Diceros bicornis minor: one gene and its partner. The protein of the gene in region 1 interacts with the protein of each later gene in a biochemical or structural test. Links are inferred from orthologs where the notes say so. Each region holds a gene or a part of one and is shown on either strand. Other genes may lie near its edges.

The links.
Region 2: the proteins of DRD2 (region 1) and NCS1 form a complex in vitro, tested with the Homo sapiens proteins (2 studies listed by BioGRID, with this or other methods). The link is inferred for Diceros bicornis minor from reciprocal best matches to the Homo sapiens genes DRD2 and NCS1.

Annotation. Positions count from the first base shown.
Region 1 is NC_080746.1:22,931,057-22,934,800, reverse strand, and holds the start of DRD2 (D(2) dopamine receptor), read right to left. Parts: upstream 2,755-3,744; 5' UTR 2,728-2,754; coding exon 2,443-2,727; intron 1-2,442. UniProt on the Homo sapiens protein: Dopamine receptor whose activity is mediated by G proteins which inhibit adenylyl cyclase. Positively regulates postnatal regression of retinal hyaloid vessels via suppression of VEGFR2/KDR activity, downstream of OPN5.
Region 2 is NC_080767.1:37,657,160-37,660,903, forward strand, and holds the start of NCS1 (neuronal calcium sensor 1), read left to right. Parts: upstream 1-841; 5' UTR 842-1,324; coding exon 1,325-1,388; intron 1,389-3,744. UniProt on the Homo sapiens protein: Neuronal calcium sensor, regulator of G protein-coupled receptor phosphorylation in a calcium dependent manner. Directly regulates GRK1 (RHOK), but not GRK2 to GRK5. Can substitute for calmodulin. Stimulates PI4KB kinase activity.

The sequences.
Region 1 (3,744 bases):
AATGCACATCCAGTCCCATTGGACAGGTGCTGACATGGCAGGATATCAGAAGCATTCAACATTGCTGGAAATGGAACATGATGGAAAATTCTGGACAAGAGCATCTCTTGGAGAGGCTACAGTATGTGGTTGTGAGGATACTTTGACAGGATGCTGGGATAGGGTGAGACTCCACTTGGAGCATTCTCTAGGGACAATACATAGCTGAGACGATGTCCTATAAGCAGGGCCTACTGTCCGTTTGTTTTGATGGGAGACTTCGAGCACTGCCCTCGGAGATGCTGTTCTCCACTCTGCCCCTTGAAACACTGAGCCTCACCTTTAAAATAATGGGGAACAGATATGTTTAAAATATCTGTTTGAAGGACTTACAGATTCCTAGGAGCCCGAATGTACAGATTTGGCCCTACCCTAGGTGTCCGGGTAGGGATGGTAGGTCTGGAAGGCCCAGAATCCATGCCCAGAGCCCTGGGCAGAGCATGCCTCACTCTGGGAAGAGGGTGCCTCTTAGCCTGGGCATGGGGAGGGTCCCCTCTATGTGGATACCTACTTCGCCTTCATCACCATTGTCATGGCTGACTTTTACACAGTGCTTACTACGCGCCTGGTGCCATTCTAAGCCCTTTTCATATACTAACTCACGTGATTCTCAAACAGTGCTACTAGGTAGATGCTATTATTATCTCTATCATACAGGTATGGAAAGTGAGGCACAGACAGGTTGTTTGCTCTGCCAACCACCCATCATTTTACCCTGATGGTCTGAGGCCTGGGACCCTCCTTTGAAGGGGAGCAGGAAGGGAAGAGTCCTAAGAACTAAGAGGGGGCCGCTCAGGGCGAGGCCCTCAGACAGGACGTGGCTGCACAGAGTCCACAGTCCTCATAAACATGCAAGACGTGGAGGAATTGGACCCCTGGACTGTGGCACTTGTATGTCTTTATGTTATTTTGTATCTATTGTTTGTTTCCTTTTGGTTCTTCCTTAACATTCAATCATGTCACTTGGAAAGTTCCAGCCTGTTTGGTCCGTGTGAAAGGAAATCAAGGGAGTGACTGCCCAGAGCTCCCTGGGGCCATCTTGGTCAAGACAACAGGAAGCACAGGGAGCCCCTTGGGGTATGGAGACAGGGAGAGGTGCCTGCTGACCAGCCTCCCCTCCCCCATCGGCTTCTTCTCCTAGATGTCTCCTTTACTCAAACCTACAAAGGTTTCACGTTTTCTTTTAAGAGTGGAAGCCCTCCCCCACAGGCAGGGACTTGCCTTGTTGGCACAGGTGAATTCCTCTCTTGCCTAGGGCAGGAAGATAATTGCTCAGGCGCTTTGGCTCTTTCCTGAATGTTTGGTCAGCTTCCCATGCACCCAGACTCCACCCTAGAATCCTGGGCAAAGAAAGGGGCAGGATCCAGCCTGTGCCCACCCAAATCCCCCAGACCCTCCCACATCTGCCTGCCTGCTCTGAAAAGTGTCCTCCTGAAGATGGGGCCACTCTCAGGGACTTCTCTGTCAGCGGTTTCTCCCTCTGTGGTGTGATCTGGGTGAAGACAAGCAACTTTGCAAAACTTCAGTTTCCTCTTTTGTGAAGTGAGAATAGTATTGACTCCCAGGATGAGCATGAATATTTGCTGAGTCTGTGTCTGCAGAATGCCTGGCACAGTGCCTGGACCATGGAGTAGGGGTTGGGGGTGTGCCTGGACCATAGTTGGGGGGGGGGCAGTGCCTGGACCGTAGCTGGGGCTGCCCATTCACTACTCCAAGGCACAGAGCCGGGCTCTGTCCTGAGCTGAGCAATGGTTAACTATATGGTCCTTCCTGAGGACAGGGAGTGCAGCACTGTTCACAGTGGTCTCTACCTGGAGGTCCCAGAAACAGGCACTGGAATAAACTGAGGGAGAGAGAAGGGAGAAGGAGAGCACAGAGCAGCATCCCCCATATTTGTAGTGGGGAGAGAGGAATGAAGACTTTAGGCCAGGAAGCATGAACATCTCCCTTCCTTGGGGATCCTCATCAATTATTGCTATTTTCAACATGACCTAATGAACTGACTCTGGGGTCAGACAGAGTTCCAGCTTGGACCGTCCAGCTGTGTGATGCTGGGGAAGTCACCTAACTTCTCTGACCCTCTGGCTCACCATCTGTAAAATGACGATAATAATACCAGCCTCTCAGGGCTGCTGTGAGGACTATATGGGGAAATGCTGACTATGAAGGAGTCAACATGAGGCCCAGCACTTAGGAAGCACTCTACAACTGGTAGTTAGGATTGTTAAGCAGACAATCTACCCATTTTATAAGCAGAAAAACTGAGCCCGGAGTGGAGGAAGAGGCCACCTGAGAAAGCACCAGGCAACTTGTTGGTAGAAACCAGCGAGGAGCTGTGCCCCCAGCTCCAGTGTAGCGCCCTCCTGGAGAAGGTGCTGGAGCAAGGCAGAGGTGCAGACCTACCTCCAGGTAGACAACCCAGGGCATGACAAGCGTGGCTACGAGGAGGTCAGCCACCGCGAGGCTGACGATCAGGTAGTTGGTGGTGGTCTGCAGCGCCTTCTCGCGGGTCACAGCCATGCACACCAGCACGTTGCCGAAGACAATGACGAAGATGAGCAGCGTGAGCAGCATGGCGTAGTAGTTGTAGTGGGGCCTGTCGGCCTTTCCATCGGACCCATTGAAGGGCCGGCTCCAGTTCTGGCTCTCCAGATCGTCATCGTACCAGGACAGGTTCAGTGGATCCATTGGGGCAGTGGGGCCACTGGGTGGCCAGGCTCTGGCCAGGAAAAATGGATACAGGGAGTGAGCAGGAGGACCTCCCCAGGCATGCTGCCTCCCACGGAGGGCTATGGAGCTAAAACCAAGCACTGGAACTTAGTAAAGAGAATTCTCCAGCCTTGGGATTTTGTTTTGCATCTAACAATTTTCTTAAAACATTGGGACATGCTGCCACTATTCCCAGAGCAAATTCTTGCAGATGGTAAAACAAATGAGCAAGGATAATTTTTTTTTAAGTATAATAAAATAAATGGTCTTGAAAAGAGCTGATCATTCATTCATCCATTTATTCAACAAACACTTATTAAGCACATCCCAAATACCACACACTTAAGACAACTTAGCAAGGAGTTCCAGATTCTACTGGTAGGAATAGGAATATGCATTCATTCATTCTTGATTCTATAAATATGTAGTGAGCATTGTTCTACGTATTGTGAGAAACACAGGCAGGAACAAAATATACGTGGTTTTCCAGCTCACATTTTAAAAGAAACCATAGCCAATTGATCAAGCAATTAAATCCATGAGTGGTAGGCACTAGGAAATGGAATGGCAGGGAGAGACACATAACCTAGTTTAGGGAATTGAAGAAGGCTTTCCAGAGGAAGTGACGTTCAACAGACACCTGAAGGATGTGTAGGAATTAGCCAGGTAAAGAGTTGGGAGCCAGGGGAAGGGTCTAGACATAGGAAGTAGCATACGAAAAAGACAGAGCTAGAGAGTGGGACCATGGTGGAGGGCTAGAAAGAGATTCAGGATAGCTGGAGTATAGAGGGACTTGGCATGAGCTGAACTGGGGAGGTTGCAACAGGCGAGATCATAGAGGGCCTTATAAGCCATGCTAGGAATTTAGACTTGACCCTAAGGGCAGCAGGAACCACATGATCAGATTTGCCTTTCAGAGAGATTTTGACTGCTGTGTAGAGAATGGAAGAGTGGGGCCAAGCAGGGTGGCAGGACACCAGCTGGGAGGCTGTTGCA
Region 2 (3,744 bases), on another chromosome or scaffold:
CTGATGGATGCTAAGGAGAAAACAGAGAAAACTGGGAAGGGGATGGGAAAGGTCCCCCCATGCAGATGGGGGGCCAGGGAAGGCCATGCGGACCCCCCACCCCAATCCACTTGCCTCTGTCCATCCAGGTGGAGCCCTGACCACTGGCCTCGGCCTCAACTCCTGCCCGGAGCGCCCCTCCACGGGGGCAGAGAGGCAGAGAAGGCAGACGGTCCCCTGTCACCTCCCTGCTTAAATCCCAGAGGCCCAGCTCCTGTCCCCCTGGCCCTGGCCCTTCTCTCTGGCCTCGGATCACAGAGGCCCTGCGCCTGGAGCCCTGTGCAAGGAAAGGAGCCGTCCCTCCGGGTTCAGGCCTCCTTGCCTCCTCCGGGTTTTCTGGGCCTTGAACACGTTCCCACCCCCATCCCTTCCTCTCCCTGGGCTTGGAGGTCACTTTCCCCCGGGCGGCGGTAGGTGACCCCCACCAAACATGTGACACCGTGCGGAACAGTGCCCCCCGCCCCCGCCCCGTGAGGGCTGGGGCCCCGCCTGTCCTGTGCAGCGGCGCGTCCCCAGCGCCCGACAAATCCGTGTCGAATGAATGAATTTCGCCGGGCAGAGACTTGGCCTCGTTCACGTCAGATCTCCAGGGCCCGCCCCCGCCGTGGGGGTGCTGGGGCGCCGGGGATCGACTCCAGGGCGGGTGGCGGGGTGACCTCCCCCCTCCCCTCCCGCCCCGGACGCGGCGAGGCCGGGGGAGCCCCTCTGCGCCCGGGGGAGCCCCTCTGCGCCCGGCTCCCGGCTCGCGGGGCCGCCGTTCCGCGGGCGCAGGCCCGGCCGCGCGGGTGCGGGGCGGGAGGTGGCGCCGGGCGCTGAGTGGCGGCTCCGGGTCCACCCCTGGCGCGCCGGTGCGGGGGGAGCGGGAGGCGGGGAGCGCAGGGGCGGCGGCGCGAGGGAGCGCAGCAGCGAGCATGTGCCGCCGAGCCCAGTAACCAGGGACGACCGCGGCCACACGGCGGCCCGTCGGCGCCCAGCCCAGCGCAGCTCCGCGCCGCGGCGCCCGGAGAGGGCGGCGGCCGGACGGCCCGGGCCTGCCCAGCGGCTGCCCCGCGCCCCGGGCCCCGCGCCGCGCCCAGGGCGGCCGAGGCGCCGCCAGCCGTGCAGCGCAGCGCGCCGGAGCCCCGCGCCCGGGCCGCGCGGGCACGGCGCAGACAAAGGCGCGGCCCCGGCCCGCCGGCCCTCCGCGCGCCCCGCCCCGGCCCGCCCCGGCCCGCGCCGGCCGAGCCGCTCCCGCTGGGCGCCCCGCCGGGGTCCGGCCCGGGGGGCGGGGGCCGCGGCGACGAGGATGGGGAAGTCCAACAGCAAGTTGAAGCCCGAAGTTGTGGAGGAGCTGACCAGGAAAACCTACTGTGAGTGCGCGCGCCCGGACCCCTGCCCCGCGCTCCCCGGAGCTCCTTCCGCCCCCTCGCGCCCCTCCCCCAACGCGCGGTCACCCCCCCAAACCCCTCCTCCCCGCTCCGGGCCCGCTCGCCACCCCCCTCAACGCCGCCACCCTCCCTCGGTCGCTCACTGCCCCGCCCCCGCCCCGGGCCTCTCAGAAGCCCACGGCCGCGCCCCCAGCCCCACACCTGGCCCTATTGTTCTCAGGCACCCCCCACACCAGGGACGTGTGCCGCCCGTCAGCGTGCGCGGGGCCACCCCCAGGCCGGGAGGGAAGCCCCAGCCCACCCGCGGCCCCCTCTCTGCAGAGCTGTCGGGAAGGGCACGGGTGTGCAGGGGCGAGGGGCAGGGGTCCGGGGAGGGGGTGCCCGCTGGCGAGGTGGCTCCGGCTGCGCGGAGCCTACTGGCACGAGCGCAGCGGGGTGGGTGATTCATGCATCACGATGCCGCTTCTGCTGCCGCGAGGTTGGCCTGTCGCCCCCTCCCTGGCCCCGATCGTGTGTGGGGGGTGGCGAGACTTGTCAGAGAGCTCGTGGCAGCCGTGGTGGGTAAGGGTCCTGGGCGCCCTGTTGGCTGCAGGATTTACAGGCTGAGTTCTCCTCTGGCCCTGATCTCACCTCTGCCCTTCTGTCGCTATCTGCCAAACTGGGAAATGGGTTTATAGAGCCTGTGGGTGATCTGGCCGATCTCGTCGTTTAACTATCTGGGGCTCCCCTAGGGGGAGGATCTGTCCATTTTGGACTTCTCTAGATCCGTCCCAGTGTGTGTCCCTCCACTTGCCCAACTTCACAACTCTCCAGGCCCCTTGCATCCCCAATTTTTCCATGCCAGACTCCTCCCTTCCCTGCAGCCTCTGGGGAGATGCCCCAGCATGCCAGGGGTTAATGGCACTGGGTCCTGACCGCACAGTCTTTCTTTTGGGGGATGGGGTGAAGGATGGCATGGTGTGGAAGGTCTTCTGACTGGGTGTCTGACCTGGAAGGGGGCAGTGCCCCTGGGTTTGGGCTGGAATTCAGAACCCACACCTGGGCAGCTGCGTGGGTCCAGCCCCTCTGCACCCTCCCTGGAGGCAGCAGATTGACTGCCAGCCTCATGCGCTGATGGAGCCTGGGGAGGCAGCTTCTCGTGGTGCATTGCACAACCTCTGCTCCCCCTCCCCCCCAACTCCATCGGTCTTCTGGGCACGTTTGCAGGTCTGTCCAGGCCCACGCTTCAGCTCCGCGCCCCTCGCCCCCATGTGCTTGGAACAAAGAGGGCTTTCCTGAGTGGGTGCTAGTCTGCTGGGAGGTACTGGCCCTTCTCCAGTGGAATTCTGCAGCAAGGAGCTCATATCCCAGGAGCTGCTCCTGGAAGGGGTGAGGCTGCGAGAACCCGGGACTCTGTCCTTGCTGTTCTTACCCCGTTTCCGAGGTGGCTGGGTGGCCCTTCCCAGTCTGGCCGTCGTTTTGTGAGATTTGCTGGGCCTTCCTTCAGGCTCCGTCCAGAAGTGGCCCCTAGCTGTCTGCCAGCAGGCTGCAGGTGGGACTTCCCGGGCCCCTGTGCTCGGGGAGGCAGAGGGCGCCATGGGCGTCGGCGGGAGTGGTGGGCATGGGCTGCGCTGGGGTGTTTCCATCATGGTGGAGCAGGGGAGCCACCTGTGAGCCGAATGGAGCAGGTTTCCTGCTTGTCAAGCATGTCACACACCGAGCTCTTTGCATCATTAGCACATTGAATCCTCGCAACGGCCCTGCGCTTAGTGGGCGCTGTTACTCTCCCCATTTACAGATGAGGAAACTAAGGCTCAGAGGGGCCAAGCGGTGTGCCCAGCATCCAGGACTTGAACTCAGGTCTGTCTGTGTCCAAAGTGATGCCCCTTGACCTCAGAGCTCACGCCGAGAAGTCAGGAGGGGCTTTTCTTCTGTGCGTCCCTTTCTGGTTTCTGCTAGAAGCCCGTTATGGTGGCTTCTGGATGGGAAGGGGCCTGGAGTGGTCATTGTGTCCACTCCCCTCCCTCCAGGCAGATCTGTCAACTTTGGGAGAAGTGGAGTCCACAGGCTTTGTTGGGAATTGGCCCCGTGGTGCCGAGCTGGGCTGGGCTGTTTTTAAAGGCCTTTGGAGACCTGGAAGACCTTCCATCAGGGAGCTAGTTAGCCCGGTACGTTTCCTCTGTGGAGCCCTTATTAGGGGCGGGCTGGTGGAGGTGCTGCTGGGTTCATTTGCCTCCTGTCTGTCTCCCTGGCTGATGCCGGCTCCCTCAGTGCACGCCCTTGTCTGTTTGGTTGTGTGGGCACATAGGAGGTCCACAGGTATTTGTTGAATGGAAAGTCTCCCAGCAGGAAAAGCAGA